Linked DNA regions of Mus musculus. The protein of the gene in region 1 interacts with the protein of each later gene in a pairwise test. Links are inferred from orthologs where the notes say so. Each region holds a gene or a part of one and is shown on either strand. Other genes may lie near its edges.

Region 1 (8,693 bases):
GGGCATTTGGAGGACACAGGGAGAATCTGGGTCAGCTGGTATTCCTGGGCCCCGCAGTCTTGCTGCAGCTTTGAGACTCTCTCCCGCTGCGCTGAGCTCTGCCAGGCAGGATGGCAATGTGAAGACAGCTTGGGACCTGACTCCTCAAGAGTGCATGCAGGGCAGTCTGTCCAAAGCCCAGTGTGTGGGTGGCGCTCACGAGGCCCAGCTGTGCTAGCAAAAAACTGGGCCTACAATGAAATGGCATTGCCAGGAGAACAAGCAATGGCCCTTTGCTCTCCTCAGATAGGGAAAGGAGTGGAGAGACAGGCCCTGAAGGTTCACAGGGGACACGTCCTCCTTCCCCTCCTGGTGATGGGAGTTTAGTCTAGTTCATTTGTATTTGTTTGGTTTGGTGGTTTGTGTGTTTTCTGAGGGCTGTTGGGGGTGCTGACACAGGATTTCACTACATGGTATAGTATATTTCACTATACTAGACTGTATAGTCTAAGCTGGCCAATGAGTCCTTTTATTTACTTTTGCTGGTGCTGGGGATGGAACGCATTAGGCAAGTAAGAACTCCATCCATCACAGACCTACATCCCTCACCCACTATCAGCCCTTCCCGTCTTCTTGTTGTTGTTGTTGTTTGACAAGGTCCTGGCTGGCCTGGAATTCAGAGATCTACCTGCCTCTGCCTCTGGAATTCAGGGATGGATGGCAGCACCAAGCCCGTTCCTCTCCCACATTCCTAACTCTTAGAGACAAGGTCTCCTTATGTAGTCTGGGTTGTCCTTGTACTCAACAATCCACCTGTCTGAGAAGTTAAATGGACTGGTTATAAGTCCAAAGTATGAGCTTATCCACCTGTAATCCCAGACCGTGGGAAGCTGAGGCAGGAGAGTCTAAACAAGCAACAGGGTAAAAGGAGGGCATAGTAACAGAAGGAGGAGCCGGGCGTGGTGGCACATGCCTTTAATCCCAGCACTCGGGAGGCAGAGGCAGGTGGATTTCTGAGTTCGAGGCCAGCCTGGTCTACAAAGTGAATTCCAGGACAGCCAGGGCTACACAGAGAAACCCTGTCTTGAAAAAAAAAAAAAAAAGGAGGGAGGAGGGAGGAGGGAGGAGGGAGGAGGGAGGAGGGAGGAGGGAGGAGGGAGGAGGGAGGAGGGAGGAGGGAGGAGGGAGGAGGGAGGAGGGAGGAGGGAGGAGGGAGGAGGGAGGAGGGAGGAGGGAGGAGGGAGGAAGAAGAAGAAGAAGAAGAAGAAGAGATGGAAGAAGAAGAGGGGAACTTCAGAGGAGAAACCAACAGACAGGGAATCCAGAGATGGAGTACGGCTGTGGATAATGGGTTTAGGTGGGGCACTGGCCTATCATGGAAATGTGAGACCAAGACAGGACACAAGTCACCACCAGTTTTAGTCTAAGTCAGTGGTTCTCAATCTGTGGGTTGTGACCCCCTATGTGGGGGTTGCATGGCCCTTCCACAGAGGTCACAGGTCACCATCAGATATTTACATTATTATTCATAACAGTAGGGGAATTACTGTTGTGAATTAGCAACAACAAAAATTGTATGGCTGGGGTGGGGGGGTTGTTGAGAACCACTGCTCTGGGGTATTTCCAGCCTATGCCACTCTTACACATTTGACATTTGGGTCTCAGGTCACACAAGCGGCACCACCAGGACTACAGCCAGGCAGTGCAGAGCCCACAACCACACTGCATTGTTTTTGCTATCATTATAGTTTTGTTTTCTAAGACGGGGTCTCAAGTAGCCCAGGCTGATCTCAGACTTTCTCTATAGCCAGGGATGCCAACGATTACCTTGAACTTCCAATCCTTCTGTCTCCACCTCCTAAGTGCCACCCAAGTATCATTGGCATGTGCTGCATATTCAATTCATGGGAGTTTTGGAACTTAGATAGAACCCTGGGTCTTCTGCACATACGTAAAGGCTATATCACAAGCGCTGTCTCCCAGTGTTTCCCATTATTAGATTAAATATTCTTGTGCTAGAGTGGGGAAGAGAATATAGAAGTGGTGGTCAAAAGATGAAATACACATTAGCAACAAGACAGAGAGGAGCGTATGAAAAGGCAGAGTCACAGCAACATCTGGGGGTGTCGGCTGCGTGCATGTAGTGGTCAGGGCCGCAGACCCAGGCTCTCTCCCACAAGCTGGGTGTGCTCTTCTTTTGTCCTGGACTCTAGGCCGCTACTGTGGAGGAGTGTGCTTGTGTTTGGTGTGAATCATGCAGATTGTTGCAGCCCTGCCCTGGCAGAGAAAACAAGTGGGTTCTACTTATTCAGGACCCACACGCCCCTGATGAGCCCTCAGTGGGCCCAGGGGAGAGGGGTGCACAGGCTGGGCTGATGGACAGTCTTTAGCATTCCACTTAGCCCATGCTCAGTCAGCCAGCAGGTATCCAAACAATGGGTTTTGGGAAAGGGAGTCCCGGTTTCCTTACAGGAATCAGGGAGATGGGGTTGGGCAGAGGCAGCAGGAGAGAAGTGAACATCAATCCCTGCTATGCCCTTGGCTACGGACTCACATCAAACTAAGACGAAGACTGCTAAGGATGGAGCTTGGCCTGTGGCCTCTCTTTCCCTGAATGGCTTTTAGAACTCTGACAGCTGACTGCTGGGAACTGGGTCTTCAGTTCTGCAAGGAGCCCTGGTTTCTCAGGCCAGGAAGAAGAGGCCTTGGGGGTGCCGTGGTGCTACACTGAGGGTGCTGTCTGCTCAGCTCATTAACCCTTAGGTCAACGCTGTGGCACTGAGGGAAAGGGTCGTGGACCAAAAATGTTCCAGAATGAAGTTAAAGGGGCTCAGAAGCTGACCCCCAAATCAATCAGAACTGTTCCCATAGCCCACACCAGGTGGGCTTCAGTGTCTCTGGTACAACCAGAGGGGTGGCCCACAGGTGTTGGAGCCAAAGGCAAAGCAAGCAGAGTTTTGAAGAACCACCCCAGTACAGTTAAGGGCCTGAAGGAAACCATCTACCTCAGCCTGGGCCTCAGGGACAGCTTATAAAACAGGCCCGGTCCCTCTGAGAACACTTACCCAAACCCCTCTGCTTGCCACAGTGTTCTCATCTGCTCAAAGTCCCTTTGACCTATACTGCTTCCCTTCCTGGGGCACTGGAACCTTGTGGGAGGTCAGGTGTTCATGTCTGGCAGGAACAGGAGCCTCCAAGCCAAATCCAGCCTGGTGCAATCACATGATTCCCTGGGCTTCTCCCTACTGCCTGGGTCTTGTACGCGGTGGTGTCTGTAACAGCTGGTGACTAGGCTGGACAAGGATAGCATGCCTCAGCGAGCTGATAGCTGATGCAGGAGGCTAGCCAGGCAGCCCTTGGAGAAGATGACCACTTGGGAGGGAGGTGGCTGGGACATGCTCAGACTTCAGGAAGGGAACCAAGAGGAGCAGACAGCTGTCCAGGCCTCGGAGCAGCTGCAGACAGGATACAGCCCAGCCACACCACCCTAGGCCCTTCTATCTTTAGGACGGTCTTCTGACACCAGTATCTTTTCTCTCAGCTCTTAGGCTTCTAACTTCAGCTTGATTCCTCCAAAAGGAGGTGACCAGGCAGGGGTTGGGGGGGAAGCGGTGGGCTGACATTAATCGATAGGAGTGTCTCTGAGCAGTTCATGTGGCCTTATCTCTCTCTCCTTTGGATAGCGTGTGTCCGCCGGAGTCCGCGGGGTCGGTGATTAATAGGGGCCATCACTCACTGTCCTGGACGGCTGAGAGGCAGCGGGGAGGGGTGGCCCTCCCCAGACTGAGATAACAAGCAGCAGGAATAATGAGTGGTGTCACTCCACTTTTCATTGTGATGGAAAGTCATTACGGGAGTCAACGCCAGCGACAAAGAGCCATGAATCAACTGCTCTGCTATGAAATTAAAATCGAATTGCTGGCCACCCCCAGCCCCTATCCTTCCTGGGAAACAGGGATGGGTAGGTGGCTTGGGAGAGGGGTGCTATCCTGGGGTGGGTCCCACGGGAGAGGGGTGTTATCCTGGGGTGGCTCCCACCCAATCGCAGAGCAGGCAGTTACGGGCAGGAAGTGGACAGGCAGCCAGTAAAGGTGACAACTCTTGTCTCCACCTTGTTTATCAGACCCTGCCTCCCCAAACCACATTTCCCCCTGACTAGCCAGTAAGCAGTGATTAAGAGGAAAAATACACCTCTGCAGGGTCTCACAGGGCAGGCTGACTGCTCCCCCTGGGCTGCCGACTGGGGCAGGACAGCATGAGCCTGGTGACAGAAGGGGGCAAAGCTGTACTGGCCAGCCCCAAACCACATGCTGAACCATTTATAAATGCTTATGGGGTCAGGTACCACCAAAAGCCAGGAAGAAAAGCCTCTAACCTGGGGCTCTACAATTGCTCAAGGCCTCCTTGGATCAAGAATTAAGAAAACATGTGCACAGCTTCAACTTCAAGCAGGCTCAGCGTGGTGGTGCAAGTGACTGCCAGCCACGAAGGAGAGTCACTTCCTTTTATTAAGCCTCACTTGACAACTAGAAGCAGCAAGTGTGCCTTAAGGCTGACAGGCCAGAGCCACTCAAGACAACTGCTTGCAGAGATCATGGTGTGACCCTTCCTCATGGCTCTGTCTCCAAGTCCGCCTGACTTCTTGCTGGTGAGGCCCAGTAGCATCAGCCTGGGCTGTCCCACCTCCTCCTGGTAGCTGGGAAGGAGGGTGGAGGACACAGAGGGAGCGCGTCACAGAGAGGTCCCCATCAGGTTCACAGGACGGCCACTGTATCTCTTGGAGATGTCGGCTTCAATCTGAGAGAAAGAGAGCGGAGTGGGCAGGGAGCAGACAGGCCGGCAGGTTTCTCGGTCTGTGGAAGCGGAGGGGTTCTCCCCCGGGGCAGGCTCCCGGCACGGCTCACCAGTTTCTGCAGCTCTCTGGTCTTCTCCAGCAGCAGGTCCAGCTTGGGCTCCAGAGCTGCCTGCTCCTGAAGCGCCTCCTGCTGCTTCTCCACCATCAGCTCCTTCTTCAAAGCCAACAGCTGCGACTGCTTCAGCTTCTGCTGGAGGAACTCTGTCACTCGGTCCACATACCTGTGCAGATGGAGAAGCCTGGGAGGCTGTCTGCACTTAACTGCTGGGCCGGTGAGGCTCAGGAAGCTAATTCCCTCCTTGGCCTCCCCTCCCCTCATGGCCTCCCTCCTTTTTCTGGTAAGGAATATAAGCCACTCCAGATTCCTCTCAACTTAGGAACCAGGTTCTGTCTACAGACATTAATCAACCCTACCCTGCGCTACTCCCAGGAGAAAGCCATGTACACAGGAAGGAGGAATCATGGAAGAGGAAGAAGACAAGGGGAGGAAGCTCCATTCGAGATGGAGAAACACGGAATCATGGAAAGCCAACCTTGGCGAGGCCAGAATCATAAACAGGTGCTGCATCCGCAGACTGGTGAGCCGGCCGATCAGCTGCTGCAGCGTGGACACCAGGCTGAGCATCTTCTCTTTGGTCTGGCCCTGGAGGATGGCAGGAGCCAGCTGGAACTGGCTCACGGACAGGATGTCGGCCTCCTCGCTCATCTCTACTGCTCTCTGAGACAAGAAGATCTCAAGCTGAGGAGGGAAAGGGACTTCGTTCAGACCAAGAAAGGAACTCAGAAGCTGAGCCCCCCCCCCCCACCCCCCCCCCGCCCTGATGTGAAGAGCTAGAGTCCAGAGGAGAAAGGCTGTCTCCTGTGCATCACTCTACTGCTGGAGACCCTGCTCCTACAGCATGGGCTCCTTTCGGCGAGCACCTCTGGCATGGACACCTACAACACGGGAGCAGGTGGCCGCCCTGTTCCTCTAGACCCCATGCTGACCTGTGCTAGCCTAGCCCAGCCCTCCATCCTTTTCTCCAGCCTATGGGAACACACTGAGATTCCTAGGGCAGGTACTAATGTTCTCTCCATGGGAGCAATGAGAGTGCTTGAGAAACTTTGGATTCAAAGTCTAGAAAGAGTATGAGCTGCAGCCACATCTAAGATGTAGTCTTTATGAGTAAGTTCATCTTGGGCTGGTTAGAGGGCCTGATGCCAAGCCTGAGAACTTAGGGTTGATCCTCAAAACCCACATGGTGAAAGGCGACAGTAATGACACCTACAGTTGTCCCAATTTGATCTCTACCTGTGGGCTGCGGTACACATGTGCATATGTGCACTCACAAATCAATAAGTACAAGCCTTAAAAAGGAAAAAACAAATCTTGCTGTATTATGAACACTGGGTATCTTTTGTCCCCCTCTCCCCTCATGGCTACAAAATGTCTCTTCAAGGGGAAAGTAGAGGAAACCAGATAGGCACAGAATTTTCAGGAGGTTTGCCATGTAGCTACTCGGTTCTTATCTGCTCTTCCCGCTAGAATACAAGCTCCGCCGAGGCTAGGCCTCTGAACGTCTTTGTCACTGCTCCATTGCTACTGCCCAAGATGGAGCCAGGAACTTTAGAGATGTCTCATAACTATGAGAAGAACAAGGGTGTTGGGGGGAATCCTAACTTGTTAGGCTCTGCTCCAGGGTACTGAAATCAGTCCGGGCCCTTCCCTCCCATCAGCAGGAGGCATCAGAAATGAAGCCACATCTCCCAGAAGGCAGTACCTCCATGAGCTCATCAATGAACTGATTCCGAGTTTCAGGGTATTCCAGAAGAGTCAGAGCGTCTGAGCCCCGAGCTACACCCTCCGGAGCTGTCAGAAAGAGAGGCAGAGACACGAGGATGGGTCTGAGAAGCCTGTGGGTTACTGTGGACAGACTCTTCTCAGCCCTACCCAGCCTTTCCCCCTTGTTCACACCTCTCGGTTCTACTTGGGTCTGGCCGATAAATGCACAGGCAGAGCCAGAGGCGGCTGGTGGCGAGGCAGGTAAAGTGTCATCCTGCACTGCCCTCTAGTGACACAAGTGACTGCTACAGCCTCTCTGAAGATTTGGGAGAGGGAGGAGTCCACTTCAGACCTGGAGCCCAACCAGTCTCTTAAACAATCTACCAAAATGACTGGCCCACATTCAGTCTCTAAAACATACAGAAATTGGTGGTGTGGGCCTTTAATCCCAACACTGGGAGTGAGTTTGAGGCCAGCCTGGTCTACATAGAGAGTTTCAGGCCAGCCTACAGTGATACTGTCTCAAAAAAGAAAGGGGGGTGGGGGGAAGCAGGGAGTTTTTAGATCCCATCCCTCTCCATTCACATCCTAAACAAGATGTACTTTTAGTTTTTGAGACTCGGTCTCACAGGTTGTTCAAATTCACTGTAGCTACAGATGCCCTTGAACTTGGGCTCCTCCATTCTCCAGGACTGTAGGGGACAGGGCACCTACCCTCAGTTCCTGTCTCCAGCACGGTGATCTCTGAAGCAGCAGCAGCATCGTCACCCCAGTCTATCTTGTCAGCCCCAGCATCCTGAGGAACAGCAAAGACTCAGCAAGTTGGAACCGGTTCCCCAGTGCAGGGACCCAGAGCAGACTAGAGGCCCTGAAGGGTTCAGTGACTGCACCGTCCAGTCTGATGCAGTGGCAAGCATGGCGGAGGGCGTGGGCTTTGATGACGCCACCCTCCCTCCTGACTGGTCAAGGGCTTGCATTCATACACCCCAAGTCCCAGGGGAAAAGAGCCTACGCTAACGCCTCACTTCTGTGACTCTGTTTCCCTCAGGATGCGCCTGGCCTTACAACTGGGAACGGTCCCACGCACAGATGTTTTTCTATGGTTGAAGCAGGACCGCTTAGAAAGAAAGCTCTAACCTTGGCCTCTGACTCCAGGGAGATACCCCAGTCTATTCCAGGAGTCTCAGCAACGATGCCAGAGTCGGAAACAGCTTCCACCCCAAAGTCACCCCAGTCGATCTAAAGAGCAAAAAAATAAGTCAGTGCAAACAAGGTGGGCAGAGAGAGGGAGAGGAGTTTGCCTTTCTTAGGTCTCAGTGCCGTGCAGAGTCATGCAGTCAACTGCACGGACCTCCAGGCTCCCACGAGAAAGGGCAGTTTCACCGAAGGACTCCCCAGGTCAGCAGGAGCCAGTGGGCTGAGGTGTCTACCATTTGTCTGCACTCTGGTCTCAGGAAAGCCAGGAAAATCAAAGGGCCTTTGGGTCCGCCTACCCGAGCCTCGCTCACCCAGCTTCCCTTACTCTTCACTATGGGAAGTCAGGTCAGGGCTCGGGCTCCGTGTGGATGGGAAACAGCTCCCACGCGGCTCCTCAGAGGCCCTGTCTTACCTCATCCTCTTGCACCTGCTCAGGAGGCTCCTCCAGCTGTGGTCGCTCCACCACAGAGGGCTCTGTCCCCGTCCTCCACTCATACACCGTCGAGTTTCCCTTCTTCTGCACATACCGCAGCATGGGCAGCACTTGCTCTGTGGGGCTTCAACAGAGCATGGTCACGGAGCCTCTCTTGGGAAGCCGGCACAGGCTCCACCCTAATCACTGGTCCACGAGTTACCAACACAGGTGGCGTGCCATGTGGGATAATCCGAGTGGAGAGGAGCCAGAAAGACCCGGGAAGGCACCCCTTGCTCAGGGTGGAGAAGTTCTCCTTACCTGTCACACACAAACTCCACACAGGCCTGGTACAGGTCAATGGCCTCCCCCAGGGACTGAGCCCCTGCCCCTATCTCAGCCAGCTGACTTGGCAGGTCCTTCACCAGGGCCAGAAGTTCTCTTCGGACATTGTCTCCCTAGGTTGAGAGAAGGGAAGGGTTTGGTCA
Region 2 (9,603 bases), on another chromosome or scaffold:
GTCATTAGAGTATTATAATGAGCGCATGCAATCAAGCCTAGGGCCAAATAAATGCTCTTATCTATCTATTATGTGCTTTAAGTAGAGAATTCACTTTGCTTTAAAATAAAGCTATTTTTCCTTATAGATGTTTGTATTATTGAATATTTTTTCATTTATATCTGTCTGTGTTTTTAATGTGTGCCTGTGCCTACCTGTGTGTGTGCCTACAAGTATGTGTGAGTATCTGTGTGTGTGCCTATGTGTGAATACCTGTGCTCCTGTGTGTGTGTGTGTGTATTCTTTTTCTCTACTATATGTGTCCCAGTGATTAAGCTTAGGTCAGTCACACTTGGGGCAAGTGCCTTTACCCACGGAGCCATCTTGAGACCCAAGAATGCATGTTTCAACACTTATAAATGGTTGTTGGTTTAAGAATTTAGAAGCCCGAATTTAAAAGTTAATTGTACTTCCTTTGCCCACTAAAGAGCAGGGAAAGTAACTTAAAAAGTCCTTCCCCAGTTCCCATCTAAAGACTGCGAGGGAAGATGCTGTCTCCTCCAACCTTGTCTTTTCCATCTTACAAAGAGAGCTGGAGTTTAGAGTGCCTTGCCCCGTGTCTCACCTGCTGACCTGTCACTGCTGCCTCTAGTGACTGCTTCTGTATGAATATTGAGCTACAGTTAAGTTTTATCTCATGGTTCATAAAAATTGTCAGTGTTTCTAACTAGGTAGGAGAGGTGAACGTAGGGCTGGCAAGATGGCTTTGTGGATAAAAGTGCTTGCTGCACGAGACCGGTGACCCGAGGTTAACCTCCGAAACCCATGAATAAAGCATTTCTGATTAAAAACAACATTAATGAAAAGCTGTTTATTCTTTGTACTATATCATTTTTATTTATGTGTGTGCCTGCTTGTCTGTTTGTACGCGTGCATGTCACTGCCCATGTCGGCCAGAAGACGGCCTGTGAAGCTGGATTATAAATGCTTGTGAGCCACTAGAAATGGCTGCCAGGAAGCAAACCGGAGTCCTCTGCAAGTGCAACGAGTGCTTCGAACTACTGAGCTTTCTTTCTAGCTCGTGTTCCTTCTTTCATCGCTACATGCACTAAAAAAGCATAGAACTTAATGACACCAGCACTAGTTGGGGGTGGAGGGGGTCATATCCTAAGGACCTGTACCAATGTTTATCACTGTTTATACTGTTTGTTGCCAGTGGAAAAATACCTGTGAATCAACGTTTCCAGTTATGCTAACAGTGTCGCCACTGGTGTAAGTCTTTTTCTTAAGGGGCTTAAAATAGCCTTCCGAAACAAACATCGTGGAATCTGTGAGTGCTGCTTTATGTCCTGCAACAGTGTGGTGCTTTGAAAGGAGTAGTCAGATGTACATACCTGTAATACTGGCACTTAGGGAGCTAGAAGCAGGAGGATCAAGAGTTGGAGATCTGCCTGGGCTACACACCTGGTGACACCCTGTCTTGAAAGACAAACTAGTTAACAGGAATACTCAAAATACAAGTCTGTGACTGAAATAATATCTAAACACCTAAAATATTGCACAACTTGAGTTTCAAGAAAGAGTTTTCTCATCCATACCTTAATACATTACCGGTATTAAGGTATGGATGCTATATTGTTCAGGAAAATGAAGAACCAAATATTTTTAGTCAAGTAAGCAAATGTACCAAATTTTCTGTTAAATCAAAAATTTCTGTTAAGTAACTGGGTAGTCTGAGGCAGGTCGTGCTGACTATAATTACTTCTGGTCCCAGAGATGTGAGAGAAACCCTGCTTTCTTTTGCAAGTGGACCATCTCTGGTGGTCTCTGCCTTTTTCCTGTCCTAGAGGTAGTCGGAATGTGCCACCATTCCCTTTATTTTCAGCTTTAATCTGACAAAGGTATTGTCCTTCTGAGGAGACAGCGCCACTCACTTGCCGCAGGTTAACATGGCGTCGTTCTGCTTTATCTTTGGAAATTAGACCCTGATGTCACTTGTGAAAACAGCTGGTTCGTTCCTGCAGCCCTGGGCCTGCTCCATTCCCTTGCATTTGTTTTTCTTCCTCCATTTCAGATCCTAATTTCCTTCCTACCTTTGATACAGTCCTTATATAAGATTTATGCTATGTATGTACATATTTATTGTATACCTTGTGCATAGCTCAGCTGCCTGTGCATTGCTTTAGAGCCCAGGCTGGCTTTGAACTCCAGCTCCTCCTCCCTCGGCCCCCAAGAGCTGGAGTCACAGGTTGTACCACCACACCCAACTCCCCTAGTTACTCTCTGTGCAGCCTCAAAACCAGTTCAGATAGTCTCTCATCTGCTGGCTAAAAAGGAAAAAAGAATCATTTTTGGTCTGCTCAGTTCATGTTGTTCTGTGAATAAAAGTGAAATGCTTCATCATTGCCCAACTGTACATTCACCCAGACAGCATAGAGCTTTTTATTCACATTTATTTATTTGTTTGTTTATTTATTTATTTATTATTTATTTATTTATTTTTGGTGCAGACGAGAAATATAACAGTAACATTATCTTTCCTTTGAGCACACAGGAGAAGACAAAGGACTAATATCCTCGTTTAGTTGATAGCAGTTCTAGTCCTTACACGGGTTAAGAAGATAATGCCAAGTGTTACTTACTTACTACAGCAAGAAATATCAGTAGGACAGTTACATTTGTCTTTTGGAAACCACTTTTACAAGACATAGCAACAGTTTTCAAAAAGTCTTCAGACTTCAGAGATCATTGTGCGGATTGAACTTCTAAGAATACAGCTATACATGAAGAGACACCAGAACAAGTTAATCTAGTAGTGAGTGTTCCCAGGAGTCTTCATACTGCAACTGACAGAAATTCAAATGTTTGCACTTGTTCTCAATGATCAGTAAAAGGCAGGCTTGTAAACATCAATCCTGCCAGTGAGCTGACAGGGGGGACTAGGATCGAGCGCAGTGGAATGAGGAGTGCACACCATTGATCTCCCCAGGCAAGGCTCACTCAGACTTACATCTGTTTACTAACATCTACTGGTGGAGTTGAAAATTAGAACAAACTAAGGAATATCCTCCAAGCGTCTCTTTTTAAATCCCAACCCACTTGATCCCTTCCCCCACCTCCTTGCACTGGAATGTGCTTCAGGGACCCCTGCCCCCAACCCTGCTCCCTCCATGTGTCAATCATCTCAGCAGACCTAGAAAAACTCACTCTGCAACAGGCTCTTCCCTCTAGTCCTCCTCTTAAAATTCCCAGCCTCCAACGAAGGTATCCAGACCTACGAGCTTTGGAGAAGCTTTCAACAAGGTCTTTCAATCAGAAAGGGAATGCCTGAGGGCTGCAGCGGCAGAAGCCACAACAGCGCTGTTGCAAATTCAATGGAGCATGTCCTGCAAATCCAGACCCCTCACATCCCCACATCCCTGAGAAGAGGCTTGGGGTCTCCCTCCCACAATGCACTCTACAGCCTGCTTCCTTCTTTGTTAGGATGGAAACATGGAAGGACATTCAAAACCTGACAGGTAAGGGCCAAGATCAGGCAAACAACAAAGATGTCGCACATTGTTGCTCTCTGGTCATTTCTACAGGCTGAGGCCCACAAAAGAACTGCTGTCCTTTAGAAACGTGGGCTAGGTGCATTCATTCACAGACTGCTCAGGGCAGGCACAGGGTCTGTCATTGAGACTCTTCTTTCTCTTCTCTCAGATTCCCAAACTAGAGCTTAAAGACACAGCACCTAGTAGAATGGAGGGAAGAGTGGAGGTGGTCTCCCTTGCTATGAGAAGGGTGGAATAGTCAGGGCAGTGAGAGATTTGGAGTCTACTTTACAGTACCTTTCCCAGCCTGCATACAACCAAGGGGAGAGCAAATAAAAAGCCTGCTGTCTTTTGTTTTTTCTGTCTCTGGGCTGTAACTGCCTTAAAAAGAAAAGGGGTTGGGGGGAGGTGAAAAGAGAAGAGCCAAAGAGAAAAAGGTATAGCAAGGCCTGTGGGCCACAAACAATTTCTAACTACCCAAACCTAGGCAACTTTGACTTAACCAGAGTGGGTGTGAACACAGGAAGAGGAGTAGTTACCTATCAAAGGTGCCTGGATAAGGAATAATTTGTTGGTTAGGGCTCAGAACTAACCACTGGAAGGGAGCCACTTCAGCTTTGCTTTGGGCACTGCCACGTGAGACTACAGATCCTGCCCAGCAGCTAATTGAGCCATGGGAACTGGTACAGCAGGGGGTATCTGTGTGCTGCCTAGGAACTTAGGTCCTTAGATAGTTCCTGAGGAACCACTTGGGCCTGTGCAAAGCTCAACCAGGAGAGAACTAGTGGGCAATTGCACAAGCTTCCATACTCACCAGTAGCTGATCACAATGCACAGCAACCAACGGTACAAGACCAATGAGGTGACAGAAAACATTCCTCGCCTGTTACTTCACTCATACCCACCAGCCACCTGCTTGTTGTAGAGATAACAAGCAGGGTAAAAGGCAAAGGCCCAGGAAGACAGCTAGGATCAGTTGGCAATAGCCTGGAATGTCCTGTTGGGCTAATGGCTGGGTTGGGGTACAGTTCCATCTTGCAGTGGTGAAACTCACGGTTCTTCACAGTACATAGATATCGGGAACACAGCAGAAAGTATGAAGCCTGGCTAGTTCTTGGTAAGAATGTGTCAAGCTTTCTTGTGGCAGAGAACCACTTAAAAAAAAAAATGAAAAAAAGATCATGTCACAGACAGGGACCAAGCCATGCAAAGAACGAAGTACAGACTACAGCACGTGACTTGGCATAGAAGCAGTTTGAAGGCCATGCACTTGGAACACCATTATATATATATATGCAGAACATCGTGATGGCCCAGAGAAAGAAGAGCAAAGACTTGAAAGCCACAATCTTGAAACTACTGGAGACTTAGAAGAACCAATGAACACAATCCAACAGGAAGAGAAAGCAGACAGAAGGCTGCATGCTGCTGGCCAAGCTGAGGAGGTGGTAAGGACTCCTCTGCAAGAGCTTCTCACGAGGGCAGAGCTTAGCCAGACTGGAACCTGAAGGACCTGGGACTCTCCACTGGCTGCCTTGGTGGGACTCGAACTCCACGGCGTGGCCCATCGCCCATCAGATAGTATTGTAGGGGATTGGACCACAGCTCCCCTTTGATAATTTCAGCTATTCTGTCGAATTCTAGGAGGCTGTGGTCTGAGAACCAGTTGAAGAAACTGGGAATCGTGTTCCCCTCCCTATTCCTGTGGATGTGGGCCTGGGGTTCCTGACCCCGGTGCCAGCGGATTGGCGTAGAGAGTGACACCACTCGACCTGAGGATCTGCGCTCATATTCTTTGACCAGCCCCTCATTTCGAAAGTAGGGGTTGCTTTGAAAGATGAACTTAAATTTGCACCCTACTCTTGGCTGCTTAAGCTCCTCCACCTCTAAATTGATCATGTACCTCATCATGTCTTCATCTTGGCCACTAATCATTGGTGACAGCTGGGGGTGGTTCCGAAAAGCGGTGACCCAGAAACCTGGGATGTTTTGGATGATGAAACTTCTGCGCTGCATGTGGAGCCTTCTCATCCGCCCAAATTTGCGTTCCAGCTGGAGGAAGGCCCTGTCAGCCTGCGCATTTACATTTGACAGCTCTTGATCGATGGCCTCCAGCGAGTCCATGCAATTGATCTTCGGAGCTCTGGGTCGAGTCTCCTCTTTCCCTCCTCCAGCTACCTTTTTTTCCTTCTGTAACCCCTTCTTTTCCTGCATTGCCGCTCCTGCTTCTCCCTCCTTGCCGGTGGCCACAGAGATGGCGCACTTGGTAGTCGTCATTTCCTTGGTCTTCTTCGGCCCCGGCATCTGCTGAGACCCCAGGCCCACCGCACCACAGGCTTCCAGGGCTTTCGGTTTAGCAGGGCTGTGAGGCCCTTCAAGCTGACAGCCATTTTTACTGCTGTCGTCGGCTGCCACAGGGGCTGAGGGTGCGTCCCCGCCCTTTGATGGAGACGGAGCATCCTCCAGACCTCTCGCTGCCGCAGCACAACTATTCTCAGCCACTCGGAAGCAGAGCTCGGGGCCGCAGTGCTCGGAATCCGGAGACGCGCCTCCATCCGCACCGGCCTCACCTGCAGCCTCCATCTCCCGCACTGTGTCGGTTTCCTCTTGGAGCCCCTGGTCCTGCTTCAGATCCAGATCTTCGGAGGCATGGGAGGGGGTCGTGGTGTTAGCGAGAGATAGCTCGTTGTTCCCTTCCACGCCGTTCATTTTGGCAGCTGACAGCCCTGCAGAGCTTTCCTTGTCCTCTGCAGACGCAGCGCAAAACCGCAGTGAGTGCTTAGCTCCACCCCTTTTCCTTCTGGGCTGGTGCTACCATGGCAACCTGTGACGTCAGGATACCAGCTGCAACTAACCGTAGCGCGAGAACTGGCAATCCAGGTAATTTTGTCGATCAAGTGTGTTCTTTTTGTCTTTTTAAATGATGCTGTAAATTTAATCTCATCTGGGAAATTGAGTACATAAATGGATGTCGAATTATATTTTACGTCTATTCGTAAGTCTCTAATTAATTTCGACAGTATCTAAACCATGTCTCAAAATAAATTTTAAAATAGAACCTATTGTCTAATAAAGTCAGATTTTATTCATGCTTCCCAGGAATAGAGAAGCGAATTCACCAGCTCACAGGCCCTCCTTATTTCGGACACAGATTCGATTCATAGCGGCTACTGAGGAGCTGCGCAGAATCAGATTTAGGGGGCAAAAAGTGTCGTCGTTGTTTTTACTTTCAAGCAAACAAGACATTCCTAAGGTTAATTTCGATTTCTGCAGAGATTTTGATGTTTGTATACATTGGCCGACATTTACAAAGCAATTGGATATTTCTTCACTTTTAAATAAATAGTAAACCGCGCCTTATTTACAGGTGGCCACAACGCATGCCATATACACAGTTAGCCCCTGAGAATTAGTGAAGGAAATGTAACCTCAGAGGATTCAATTTCTAAAACGATACACATTAATCCTCCTTTGCCTTGGTTTATGATCTTAGGTTCTGCTTCATGCCTGTGGGTATGGAGCCAACTAACATTTGCCCAAATTTGCCTTTGTGAAGGTAGAATCAATCAGGGTTTTTCACACACTTAAGCAACTGTGTCTTTAAAATAATCTACTTTAAAAAAGAAGGGTCATTCATTCAAGTCAATTTAGAAAATGTATTTATTTATTTACTCAATCATTTATTTAAATAAATAAAAGCTATTTATGTATTTAATCACCACGGTCTCTCAGTTTGCTAAAGTCTGAGAATTCGGATGTTAATCCTTAAGGGATAGAAAAAAACAGAAACTTAAATTTTGCATATTTAATGTTTGAATTTCTATTAGAACAAAGCTTTAGAGTTCTTTGCCCTGGGAAATTGATTCCTCCCAGAATATGGTTACACTACAGTAAGAGTCTTTGAATAGGGGTTTAAAGAAAAAAAACAAAAACAAAAAACATTACCCTAAGAACTCTAATGAGGGAAATAATGGCTCCTGGTTCGCCTAAGACTCTGAGGTGGTGAGAACAACACATGGCATATCATGCAGCTTGATTTTTTTCTTTCTTTCTATGCCAAAGGTGAGTGTTCTCACTCAAAGACAGTTGTCCAGGCTGGCCTGCCTCTTCCTAGCCCTATCTCCCAAAAAAGGAAAGAAAAAAAGGAAAATCAATTGATTATCTAAATAAAATTAAAATGTACACACAAATACCAATTCTTTTTCTGTCCCCCTTTCCTTTTTCTCTTAACAAATATTCTTTTTGCCTTACTGAGGTGAAATAAATGTATCGCTAACTTCCTATGTAAACACATAAACACTGCTATAATACACTCTGTGACTTCTGAGTTATTCTTTAACATTACACCACTTCTTTACCTAATGACTCTTCACACAGTTGAAAGAGTAGCAAACACTCTTGAATTTAGCCTAAACCAAGATGCAGAGAATCATCAAATGCTGAACCAAAATACTGGGCAATGCAGGAGAAAGAAAACAGCTTGCTATTACATCACTTCATAAGAAATGAGAAAATCACATGTGGACTTCTTTCTCTTGTATATATCAGTGTTTAAAGATTTGTTTTCTACTGCTGGAAACACCTCTGTCTACATTACATTTATTTTATTATATAATAATTTATATTATGACTATTTTTCTTTCTTGAAATTCAGTATATTATATTGTAGAGGTGGGGTAGAGAGAGGGGAGACAGGAGATGGGGGAGAGGGGAAGGGAGGCTGTGACTCTCTTTGTAGCTCTGGCTGTCCTGGAACTCACGATGGCGACCAAGCTGACCTTAAGCTCAGATCTACCTGCCTCTGTCTCCAAAATACTAGATAAAGGTGTACACCTCCATTCCCATGTCTTTTTTTTTAAGTGTAATTTTTCATCAATGTAAGATCATTGTAGTAGTTTAAAGATAAATGAAAGAATAATTTTAAATCTCTTTCAAAATATAGATGCTGTGGCATGATCGGTAGTTAGATGGTTATACATATGGAATCAGCAATGTATGGAGTTATTGTTACCACCAGAATCACATGTATGATACTAGAGACATTAGTGGGGTTTACTAAAACGAAGAGCAATGTCACAGTAAAATTCTGTGTATATATTAGATTTCAACAATTTACATAGTCCATATTCCTCAATTCTAAGGCACATTTAGTTTTATTTTAGCATCTCTAAAATGACTGTTTATGACACAATCAATGAAACCTTGCAACTGTTGTCATAAGACTAGCACTCACAATGTAGTTGTCACTGTGTGGGCATATTGTGAATTTGGTTATTAGTCTCAGTATCATAATTAGACAGATGCAGCCTCTTGACATTTCAATCACCAAACTCTTAAAAACTATGTGAGAGAGGAAAGTGGTTATTATGTGTCCTCTGGATGCTTTCTGCTGGCATCTGGCTAGAGCAAGAGAGCTCCAGAATCAACCTTGCAGGAGTGTAGTAATTTGGGAAACATGATATTTTAGAACAATACTTTCATTAAACATTCGGACATCTTTTAAGAATGACAATGTTTAGACGCTTTAAAAAAAAACATTTTTTATTATCGGATAGTCATGCATACCTGAACTTGAGAGGCAGAGGTGGAGGCAGGATTGCTACAGGTTTGAAACCAGCCCAGTCTACATAGCGATTTCTAAACCCATCAGAGCAACACAGTAAGGCCCTATCTCAAATATAAAAAAGGAAGGAAGGAAGGAAGGAAGGAAGGAAGGAAGGAAGGAAGGAAGAAAGGAGATATTTCAAAAATTATTCAAGATACAAAGAGAGAACAATACTGTTTGAGGAAACATAAACACTTAGAATTATCATTCTAACTACGATTAAGGTTATTCTAATTGGGAATTAATTGTAATAATGAAACTACTTTTATTTTACTTATGGCTTTCATACATGTCCATGGGAAATACATGATAAGTCACATACATTTTTCCTTTGAAACAGGCACTGTGTCATTTCCTTTAGATTGGTCTTAAACTTGCTGTGTAGCTGAATATAAACATGATCTTCTTGATCTGCCTTCCAAGAGTGCTCACCATGGCCAGCCAACTAAAAAACAAACAAACAAACAAACAAACAAAAACAAAAAA

What was found.
Region 2: the proteins of Cdk5rap3 (region 1) and Tspyl4 interact in binary tests that used the Homo sapiens proteins (3 or more experiments, as listed by UniProt). The two-hybrid records come from large-scale screens. The link is inferred for Mus musculus from reciprocal best matches to the Homo sapiens genes CDK5RAP3 and TSPYL4.

What each region holds. Positions count from the first base shown.
Region 1 is NC_000077.6:96,903,347-96,912,039, forward strand, and holds the end of Cdk5rap3 (CDK5 regulatory subunit-associated protein 3), read right to left. Parts: intron 8,664-8,693; coding exon 8,527-8,663; intron 8,351-8,526; coding exon 8,206-8,350; intron 7,836-8,205; coding exon 7,734-7,835; intron 7,393-7,733; coding exon 7,311-7,392; intron 6,684-7,310; coding exon 6,595-6,683; intron 5,574-6,594; coding exon 5,368-5,573; intron 5,056-5,367; coding exon 4,884-5,055; intron 4,777-4,883; coding exon 4,711-4,776; 3' UTR 4,079-4,710; downstream 1-4,078. UniProt on the Homo sapiens protein: Substrate adapter of E3 ligase complexes mediating ufmylation, the covalent attachment of the ubiquitin-like modifier UFM1 to substrate proteins, and which is involved in various processes, such as ribosome recycling and reticulophagy (also called ER-phagy).
Region 2 is NC_000076.6:34,294,132-34,303,734, reverse strand, and holds Tspyl4 (testis-specific Y-encoded-like protein 4), read right to left. Parts: upstream 6,315-9,603; 5' UTR 6,222-6,314; coding exon 5,001-6,221; 3' UTR 2,415-5,000; downstream 1-2,414.